Caenorhabditis elegans: one gene and its partner. Changing the gene in region 2 together with the main gene of any one other region gives a genetic interaction. Each region holds a gene or a part of one and is shown on either strand. Other genes may lie near its edges.

Region 1 (4,161 bases), on a different chromosome or scaffold from region 2:
TATTATTCGTTTTTCAAAGGTTGCAAAAAAATTCGAAGCCCCAATTTTATCCTTACTAAGGTTTTTGAAGTTTTGAACAAATATCTCAATCTCTCCCATGCAACCCTATCATCTTTGTTACTGCTTTTATTTTGTTGTTTTGTTGATGTTATTGAATAATATAATTTGATGCAATTTTTTTAAACTGTTACCTCTAAGGTTTCTGACCGATAATTATCTATTCTGATGATATTTTATTATTATATATATTCGCAGAATTTATTCAGGTTCTGACCATGTTGGGGAACAAATTCGTTGCTCAGTTGGCTCTGCAGCACCTCCGCAATCGAGGACTCGTCAATTCCCCATCTCGTCTGACTTTTGTTCGGTAAATTTTCTTTCCGAATAGTATAGATTTATTTTTTATTCTAGAAATCGATTTGCTTGGGGATCTGATGCTGTTGGTCCAAATGTTCCAGTTGGAGGAAAGATGGGAGCTTCGGAGAATCCAGAATTGCACACCTATGATGGAGACTACCGCGGTACCATCTCGAAGGGGGATAAGCCAATTCCAGATTACTTCTACCGTACTCCAACAACTGGTCGAACCTACATCGATCGTTGTGTAACCTATTTCATCTCAGCTGTCATTTGGGCGTGGTTCTCGTACCACATGTACTATCATTCTGGCCATCTCTTGGGACATTGGTACATGCCATACTTGAGCGAGTTCACGGATGAAGAGCTCGGAATTCCAAAGGATTCTGCCGAAGATCCAGAATACTGGGGCAACCACAAGAAAGAATATGGAACTTATCGATAAATAGTTGACAGAATGTTTTTAGTTCATTCATAGTCTCATTCTTCTTGAAACGACTTGACTTTTATTTTTAACCGTTTCCTGTATGCCTGATTGTAATTCAATAAAGTGGCTTCGAATACGAACATTTTAAAAATATAATTATTTATTTCTAATCTATAACCAAATAACCTAAACTATTCCAAGGTCCGGCACATTGTCTCGTGGACGATAAACTCGCTCTTCTTGGTAGGAAAGAACCTGAAAAAAGACGAATGAAAAACTATTTCGAGCGGAAATTTAGTCTTACAACTTGTTTTTTCGCTTGAAGAGTAGGATCTAGCCTTCCTTCTTGTTCTTGTATCTTCCACATAAACCGATTTACTGGATGTTTGTCGCCTTTCCACCACCTGAAATAAGTATTTCAGTTAAAAATGAATCAATTACAATGTTTTATTACCGGACTCCAACATTGTACATTACTATGTAGAGAAGCGTTGAAGCTACAATTGCAGGACCAGTTCTTTTCATAGGATATGACAGAATTTTGTGGAATCTGAAAGTTAATAATTTTAATTTTAACGCTGGTGAACAACACTTACTTTATTTTCCAATTGGCTTTCCCTGTCGGTTTTGAACTCATCACCACATTTTTGTCACCTTCCATGTTTGAATAATAGTCAATTGTCAAGTTTCAGAGAATAAAATGATCATTAATGGGCAAAAGAAGGTTTTTTTTGTAATTCAGAGACGCCTAGTTTCTGAGAGGTACGGTGTGAAAATGTGTGCATATGTGCGTCATGGTGTTTGCACACCATTTGTGTAATTAATTTACAAGATTTTTGCTCGGAGATTTTTGGCTCAATTTATTGGTTTTATTGATTAAAAATAGATACAAATAATTCATTATTTTAGTAAATTTGTTATTATTTCAAATATATCTGTTTCCAGTCACTAAATGGCCGACGAAACGCCGAAGGTTAAAACAGAACCTGCGGCCGAGGTTAAATCACCCTTGGATGAAGTTAAGGAAATTCGAAAAGAGGCAGAACTGGTAAGTTAATAATAATTCGTACAGTTGCTAATATCCCATGTTCATGTTTTCCAGACACAAACTGGGAGTGACGAAAAGAAAACCACGGACCCGGAATTCATCACAGTACAAGATCCAAATGGAGATGAGCCAATAGAACTTCCTACCGTTGATGGTGTTGTCTTGATGACTACATTGCAAGCATCGTTTCCGGGTGCTACTGGTTTGAAGTACAAAAATCCAAAAACTGGAGCCAACCGAGCTGTTCAGTGAGTGCTTGGTGGAGGTATACTGACTTAAAATTTATTTTATTTTCCAGAGTCGATCCCAGTGGTTTGAAATTAATTGCTCCAGCTGACGGCTGGGAAAATAAAACGTTCTTCGTTATTGTTGCCCCGCGTAAGTTGTTTTTGTTTTATATTAACTAGTTTCACCAAAATTCAAGCTTTTGAGTAGAGACGGTTTATGTGACAGTCTGAGTGAAGACGTTCGAGTGACGTAGTGTGATTCAGAGAGCGAGAGAGTCAGAGCGTTGTCATCAGCTGACGCGACGAGTGCGAAGAGACGTAAAGTGGGATCGAGTGACGACTCGGATTCGGATGACGGTCGTGACGGACGTTCGGGCAGGAAGAGAGCGGTTGAGAGAGACAGCCAGCCAGTTGACCTCATCGTGCTCGGTGTGGACTTCAAAACGACTGACGAGTGCTTTCAGAAATACTTCGAAGATATAGGAACTGTTGTGTTCTGTGAGGTTCGTGAGATGAGTGAAGGAATCTGAAAGTGAGAGAATTAAGTTCACATAGGTTCCATTAAAAATACATATTCAATATTCTTCTTCAGATAAAACGAAAGTCGGATGGAAACTCAAAAGGATTTGGATTTGTCAGAATGTCATCAGTCGGTGAACAAAATAAAGTATTAGCTATCCCACAGCACATGATTGATGGTCGTCGTTGTGATGTGAAAGTTCCAGATGGAAGGGTATGTTATTATACTGATCAATTAAAACTAATAAGTTGAGCAGAGTTTGCAGGACAAACAAGGTCGTCCATCAATCAGTCGAATTTTTGTCGGAAGGCTCACAGACAAAGTAGACGAACATCAACTGCGAAAAGTGTTTGGAGATGAAGCAAAAAGCTATATAGAGACTGCAGTAGTTACCGATGTGTTCATCCCAAAACCATTCAGAGGCTTTGCATTCGTTACGCTGTCGAGCGCCGAAGCCGCGGAAAGAATTGTCAGGTATTGCTAATTTTTTGGAAAACCTGTTAAAAATAACTGTCTCCGGTGTAGCATCACTTTTAAGCACTCATATTTTTCATTCTAGTAAGAAATATAATTTTCAGCAAAGGATCGCTAACTGTCAACGGTTTATCAGTTGGATTGAGCATCGCACAGCCTCGAGAAGAGAATAATCAATCAGTTGGCCCTGATTATGGCCTTCCAGCTGGCTACCGTAACCGCAGAGAACGTGATCGACCGGATAGACGACCGATTCAAAATGAAGCACCTCTGCCCATGCCATTCGTCCGCCCACCACAAGATTACTCATACCGTCAGCAAAATTCTCCCCTCGAGAGGAGATACTGGGCACCTGGAGACTCGAGAGGACCAGGATGGTGATTCTCTCGAAAAATCGTTATTATTCATATTTTTCTACACTTTTCTCAATTTTCTTGTCTGACAATTTGTCATTAGTATTGTTCTCTCACATTTACTAGACCCCTACAATTTTCATGTCGACGCACTTTGCGATTTTATGCTGTATTTTTAATAATGCAATTCTACAATCTCTGAATAAAAAACCTGAAATTAAATCGACTAAAAAACTAGTTCATTCTCAAGAATTGGTAAGACAAGAGGCACAAAAAGTTAGTAAGTTTCCGAGTATTCATTGCACAACATCTCAGAAACGTACTCCGAATTCACAAAGTATGGCGTCGTGTTCACAGAATTCTGGGCAACCTCGGAACTCGTGTTCACATATTTCGGCAGAAATGAAGCTTCAACTTTTTTAACGGCAATATGTTGAGGAACATCGAAAACGAAAATCTCGGACAAAGCATCAAGTTGGTACTGTGATGGGACACGAGCCAAACGAACAGTATTCTCTGCTGGCTTATAATTCAAATCAGCCAATTCATAATAACTTTGTGGACCATCACAATTGACACGTGTAGTTTCTGGATAAGCAATGGTGGATTGTTCAGTGATCCATTGACTTTGAACACTTTCAGTTTCTCTCAAACAATCCTCCCAACCATTATCCGATTCGGCACCCGTGATGACGTCATCAAAGCTCGACTTTTCATTCTTCTCAATTTCCAGAAGCATCTAAATTAAAATAATT
Region 2 (4,980 bases):
CGCTTTCATCCGCTTTCGTCGATTTCAATTGCTCAATGTTAACGGATTTTTCCCGTTTTTCTTTTGTTATATTCGTAAGTTTCAGTTATATTTCGTAAGTTTTGTTATATTCGTAAGTTTGAGGAGCACGAATACTACATTTTAAAACAATTTCCCCATTCCGGATACTCTAATGGATACTCTAGTTTTTGATACCTTTCGAACATGGTGCATCGACTCTCTTCGTAAAAAACAATGCTAAATACCAAATTTTCTCTAACTTTATATTACATGCCGTCTAAGTTGAATAAGGCCCATAGCTAGGTTTTGGACATGGTGCATCGACCAAGGCAGCTCTTTTCTCTGTAGGTTATCAAAAAGTGTCAACTATCTACTTTTTTACAATTATATAGTTGAGCACTTTCTGATGCTCCTTTCTAAACATTTTCAAGATCACAAGTGTAAAGTGTAACACCAAAGAATCCCCACAATAAACATGGCTTCCTGTTTTTTGTAATAGAACTGATATTCTGAATCTGTCAACAATATTGAGCTCTATTGAGCATCAGCTTTGTCAAATTTTGTAGCCTCTAATTTTGATGCGTTACACAGTCGCCGCTCAGCCAATTTCAAAACCCCCGCAAGGCTCTGAAAGGCAAAGATCTCCTTAATCGTGGCTCTTCTTGAGATGAGGTGCTCTTTCAAGCTCCTCCTCTCTCCCAATCTCTCACCACCTGCGTCTCCAGCGTCACGTCTTCATGAAGAGGGGTGCGCGAGTGGGGGGACTGAGCAGCACGGCTTCTTCTTCTTCTTTCTCTTTTCACTCTCTTTTTGGCTTCTTCTTCTTCCCCTTCAGCTTCTCGAACACTCACTAGCTTCCATGAATTGTAGCGGCTCTCTCTCTCACTTTCCCTGACTTAGTTACGCCACAATTTTATATTATTTTCGGGATTTTTTATATTCCAGTAATATTATTTCTTTGTGACGTGCTCGTTACTTCTGAAAATCTGTAAAAATTGAAGAAAAAAAATTAGTAGTCCAGGCCTAGAACTAGGCTTCCAAGGCCCTTATTTGAGTATAAAATTTAGTAGTTAAAAGGAGCATGCAAAAATTAAAAAAAATTTAATTAATTTCCAAAAAAACTTTTGTTTTTTTGAATGTTTCAAAAGGAGTTTTCCAGTTTTCTTTCTTACAATTAGTAAAAATGTTTTTTTTTCACTCCAATACTTTTCATTTGACCCCCATGGGTCCCGCCACGAAAACCTGCCGGACTACTGTAGGTTTCGTGGTGGGACCCAAAATAAAGAGACTTGGATGCCAAATGAAAAAATGAATACCTAGAAAAATTTTAAAAAAAGTTCCAGCGTTTTTGTAAAAAAAATTTTGCTGTGCAACTATTATACCCTCCAATTTTCCAGGCCATATACTTCGGTTCATTTTCAAAAAAAAATTTCAATTTCCTAAAATTTCCTCTAGAAAACTATAGAAAAAAAGTTTTTTAAAATAATTTTCTTTTCAAATTTTTGATGAAATCAAAGTAAACTGAGTTGCAGCACTATGTCTGATCTTTACCAATTTTTATGGACTATATCTCGGCCTATTTGAGCTATAATTAAAGAAATTTTACTACAAAAATATAGAAAACCACTTAATAAACACTTTGTCAGTTAATTTTATTTTGATAAAATTAAAAGCAACTGAGCTAAAAGCTGTAGAATAGCTGTAGACATATCTTGATCGATGCACTATGTCTGATCTTTACCAATTTTTATGGACTATATCTCGGCCTATTTGAGCTATAATTTGAACATTTTAACTACAGAAATATAGAAAACTACTTAATAAACATTTTGTCAGTTAACTTTGTTTTGGTAAAAGATTTTTCAATTTTTGTCTCTAATTTTTGTTCTTGCTTCCAAATTATCCATCTAACATATGTAAATTGTTGATTATTCACAAATTTGCAGCTTGTCACCATTCCACCGACAGTTGCACTTGCTCCGGCTCCGTCGGCTGCTGATATGGGGCAGCAGCAGCACGAGATGCGCGCCAGTAGCACCTCGTCGACAGATTCAAATGGGTTTCCGGTGAAGGATCCGGATGCTATTAAGCTTTTTGTCGGGCAGGTTGGTTGGGCTGAAAATTGAAAAAAATTGGGGTTTGTGGAATTTCTGAAAATATAGATTTTCAAAACTTTGTTAGACTGCGTGTTAGGTCCCGCCGCAAAGCAGGGGTACTGTAGTTGTCGTGGTGAGACCCACAACTTTAAAATTGGGGGGATTCTAGGCAATATGGGGGTGGATTTTTGTGAAAAGTTTTTGATTTTTTTTTGATTTTTCAATTTTCTTAGAAACCTTAACTTTTCCCATTTCCCTCTACAAATCGCGTGACGCTGATACCCTCCCTCTCTCCCCATTTGTGAAGCCCATTCTGCACCAAATTTGCTCTTTTCCCTCCCCCTCTACACCACGCGGATATCTCCCGGCGTCTCGCATACTCCATCGTCAGAGTGTGTGTCAAGTTTGTCGCTGTGCTCCGCGAGCAAGATCGATATGAGCACCCAGAAACCCGGGGGGACACAGGCGGTTCGGAGCATATTAGGGAATATTGGATTAAGGGAATATGAGTAGAAGGGAAACGTTTCTCATAGAATTTATAATTATATTCTATGAAAATCTAGAAACTAAAATTATTAGCTACTCAGTAGTTTTTACAGAACTTAAAAATATCGATTTTGAGTCAAGTTATGGCGATTTGAAGTTAGTGGCCTAGAATTTGAAAACTACTAATCACGCTAGTTACATTTTTCAGCTATAACTTATATTTTGAAATTTGAAAAAATATCGATTTTCAGGCAAGCTAGAGAAATCTGAAGGTGGTGGCCTAGGATTTTTCTAGGCCACCAACTTAAACTCACTTGAACTCGGCTCGAAGTCAACATTTTAAAGTCTGAAAAATGTTGTGATTTAAAAAAAAATAATAATTACTATTATTTTGTATCGTATCAAACTTTTTTGCGCTCAAAAAATATTGATTTAGAGCCAAGTTAGAGCGGTTTTAAGTTGATGACCTAGAAATGCAAAGTTAGGCCATGGATTGTTTTTAAAATTGCTATAATAGTGTTAACTGAGCACATTTTGTAACAATTTTCAAAATTCAGAAATTATGATTTTAAGCCAAGTTATAGCGGTTTTAAGTTGGTGGCATAGAAAAATCCTAGGCCACCAACTTGAAACGGTCATAACTTGACTGAAAGTTAATATTTTTAAATTTTGAAAAATGTATTAAACTTAAGAATATATTAATATATCTATTCTTCAAGTTTAAGTAATAATGGCCTAGTTTTTTGTGTTATTTGGTTTTCTAGGCCGCCAACTTTAAAATGATGTCACTTGGCGGAAAATCGATAATTTTTTAAAATTCAAAATGATGTCAGTGTACAAAACACTCGCAAAAAGTGAAAAATATTAAATTGATTTTCAGTTAATGGCCTAACATTTTGTATTTCTAGGCCACCAACTTCGAACCGTTTTAAAAATTACAAATGTAATAGATTTTATGAAATATTTAGCGTTGTAATAAATGTTTATAAAAAAATTTATTTGGAAATTTTTAAATTCGCAAAAAGTTATATCTAAGAATTCAGATCCCCCGAAACTTGGAAGAGAAAGATCTACGTCACCTATTTGAGCAATTTGGTAAAATATATGAATTCACAATTCTTAAGGACAAATATACAGGTAAGCAGAAAAATTAAACTTTTGTTTTTTTTTCAACAAAAAATGTTTTTGAAAAAAAAAATCCAAAAAAAAAAAATTTTTTTGCTAGATAAAATTTCCCCACAAAATTTTCTTACTACTACCAGAAGCCTGACAGGGTGTGGTTAGAGTACCGGAATCACGGTTCATTAGAAATTGAAATGCATTCAGGTATGCACAAAGGCTGCGCATTTCTCACCTACTGCCATCGAGACAGCGCCGTCCGCTGTCAGGCGACACTTCACGATCAGAAAACGCTGCCTGGAGTGAGTATTCGTTTGCCTTTTGGAAAAATGAAATGTTTGTTTTGAAAATATAGAAAATGCTCTGAATATTTGTTTTTAAAACTTTGAAAAATCTTGATTTGAATTAAAGTTATGGCCAATTGAAGTTGGTGGCCTAGAAACCCAAATTGATGGCCTAGAATTTTTTTCAATCTAAAATTTGAGTTGTTAGTATAGTAGATAAACATTCATACTGTATATCTAGTTTTTTAATTTCTGAAAAATCACGATTTTACGCAAAATTATGGTCAGATGAAGTAGGTGGCCTAGAAAATCAAATGGGTGGCTTAGAAAATTTAAAAATGTATATTTTATAAGTTCACTAGTTGAGTTTTCGCTAAGTTTTGTGGTTTTGAAGTTCGTGGCCTAGAATTTTCAAAATTGATAATTTTTAAAAAATTTTAAATTGAAAACACATTTAAAAATTCACTAGACTTTTCAAAAACATCAAAATATATTCAATTTTAACAAAGGTATGATATTTTAAAGTTGGTGGCCTAGAAATCCAAAAATCGGCCACGACCTCTTATTTTGCGTGGAACGTCGTATCGTGTTGGCAGCGTTTTTTAGAATTCAAAAACAACAATAAAGTTACAGAAGCTTTTATGTGATGGCCTAGAATTTTAACTGAAATTTCTAGGTCACCAATTTAAAATTTTTTGCCATAACTTGGTTCAAAATAATATTTTCAAAATCTGAAAAATGAAAAAAAAAAAGCTTGCCGACGATGACTCCATCGAATAGATCAAAAACTGAACTCAGCAAAAAAACGTGGCCTAACTTTCACTTTTCTAGGCCACCAAGGCCCAAAAAGTGAAACGCTTCAAACGGTGGCCTAGAAACTCAAAAAGCTAGACGAAAAGAAAAATTTGAGCAAATTGACCGCAGTTCCGTTGCGAAAAACGAATTTTTGCGCGGCGGCTTGTGCCGGAAATTTCTGATTGAATTTAGTATGCGCG

What was found.
Region 1: changes in unc-75 (region 2) and tdp-1 impair growth when combined (synthetic growth defect), as found in Caenorhabditis elegans (one study listed by BioGRID).

What each region holds. Positions count from the first base shown.
Region 1 is NC_003280.10:8,996,098-9,000,258, forward strand, and holds tdp-1 (Tar DNA-binding protein homolog 1), read left to right. Parts: upstream 1-1,727; 5' UTR 1,728-1,736; coding exon 1,737-1,832; intron 1,833-1,886; coding exon 1,887-2,080; intron 2,081-2,130; coding exon 2,131-2,210; intron 2,211-2,313; exon of another isoform or gene 2,314-2,323; coding exon 2,324-2,562; intron 2,563-2,651; coding exon 2,652-2,792; intron 2,793-2,835; coding exon 2,836-3,053; intron 3,054-3,157; coding exon 3,158-3,434; 3' UTR 3,435-3,625; downstream 3,626-4,161. Other genes in the region: ndub-2 (putative NADH dehydrogenase [ubiquinone] 1 beta subcomplex subunit 2, mitochondrial), read left to right, coding at 276-367, 412-802; F44G4.3 (uncharacterized protein), read right to left, coding at 971-1,039, 1,089-1,188, 1,239-1,334, 1,381-1,445; F44G4.5 (uncharacterized protein), read right to left, coding at 3,684-4,145. UniProt on the Caenorhabditis elegans protein: RNA-binding protein which regulates transcription, splicing and RNA-editing. Limits the accumulation of double-stranded RNA by maintaining the abundance of the mature RNA transcripts that are formed from double-stranded precursor RNAs.
Region 2 is NC_003279.8:11,590,302-11,595,281, forward strand, and holds the start of unc-75 (RRM domain-containing protein), read left to right. Parts: upstream 1-1,944; 5' UTR 1,945-2,000; coding exon 2,001-2,105; intron 2,106-3,625; coding exon 3,626-3,719; intron 3,720-3,908; coding exon 3,909-4,003; intron 4,004-4,825; exon of another isoform or gene 4,826-4,897; intron 4,898-4,980.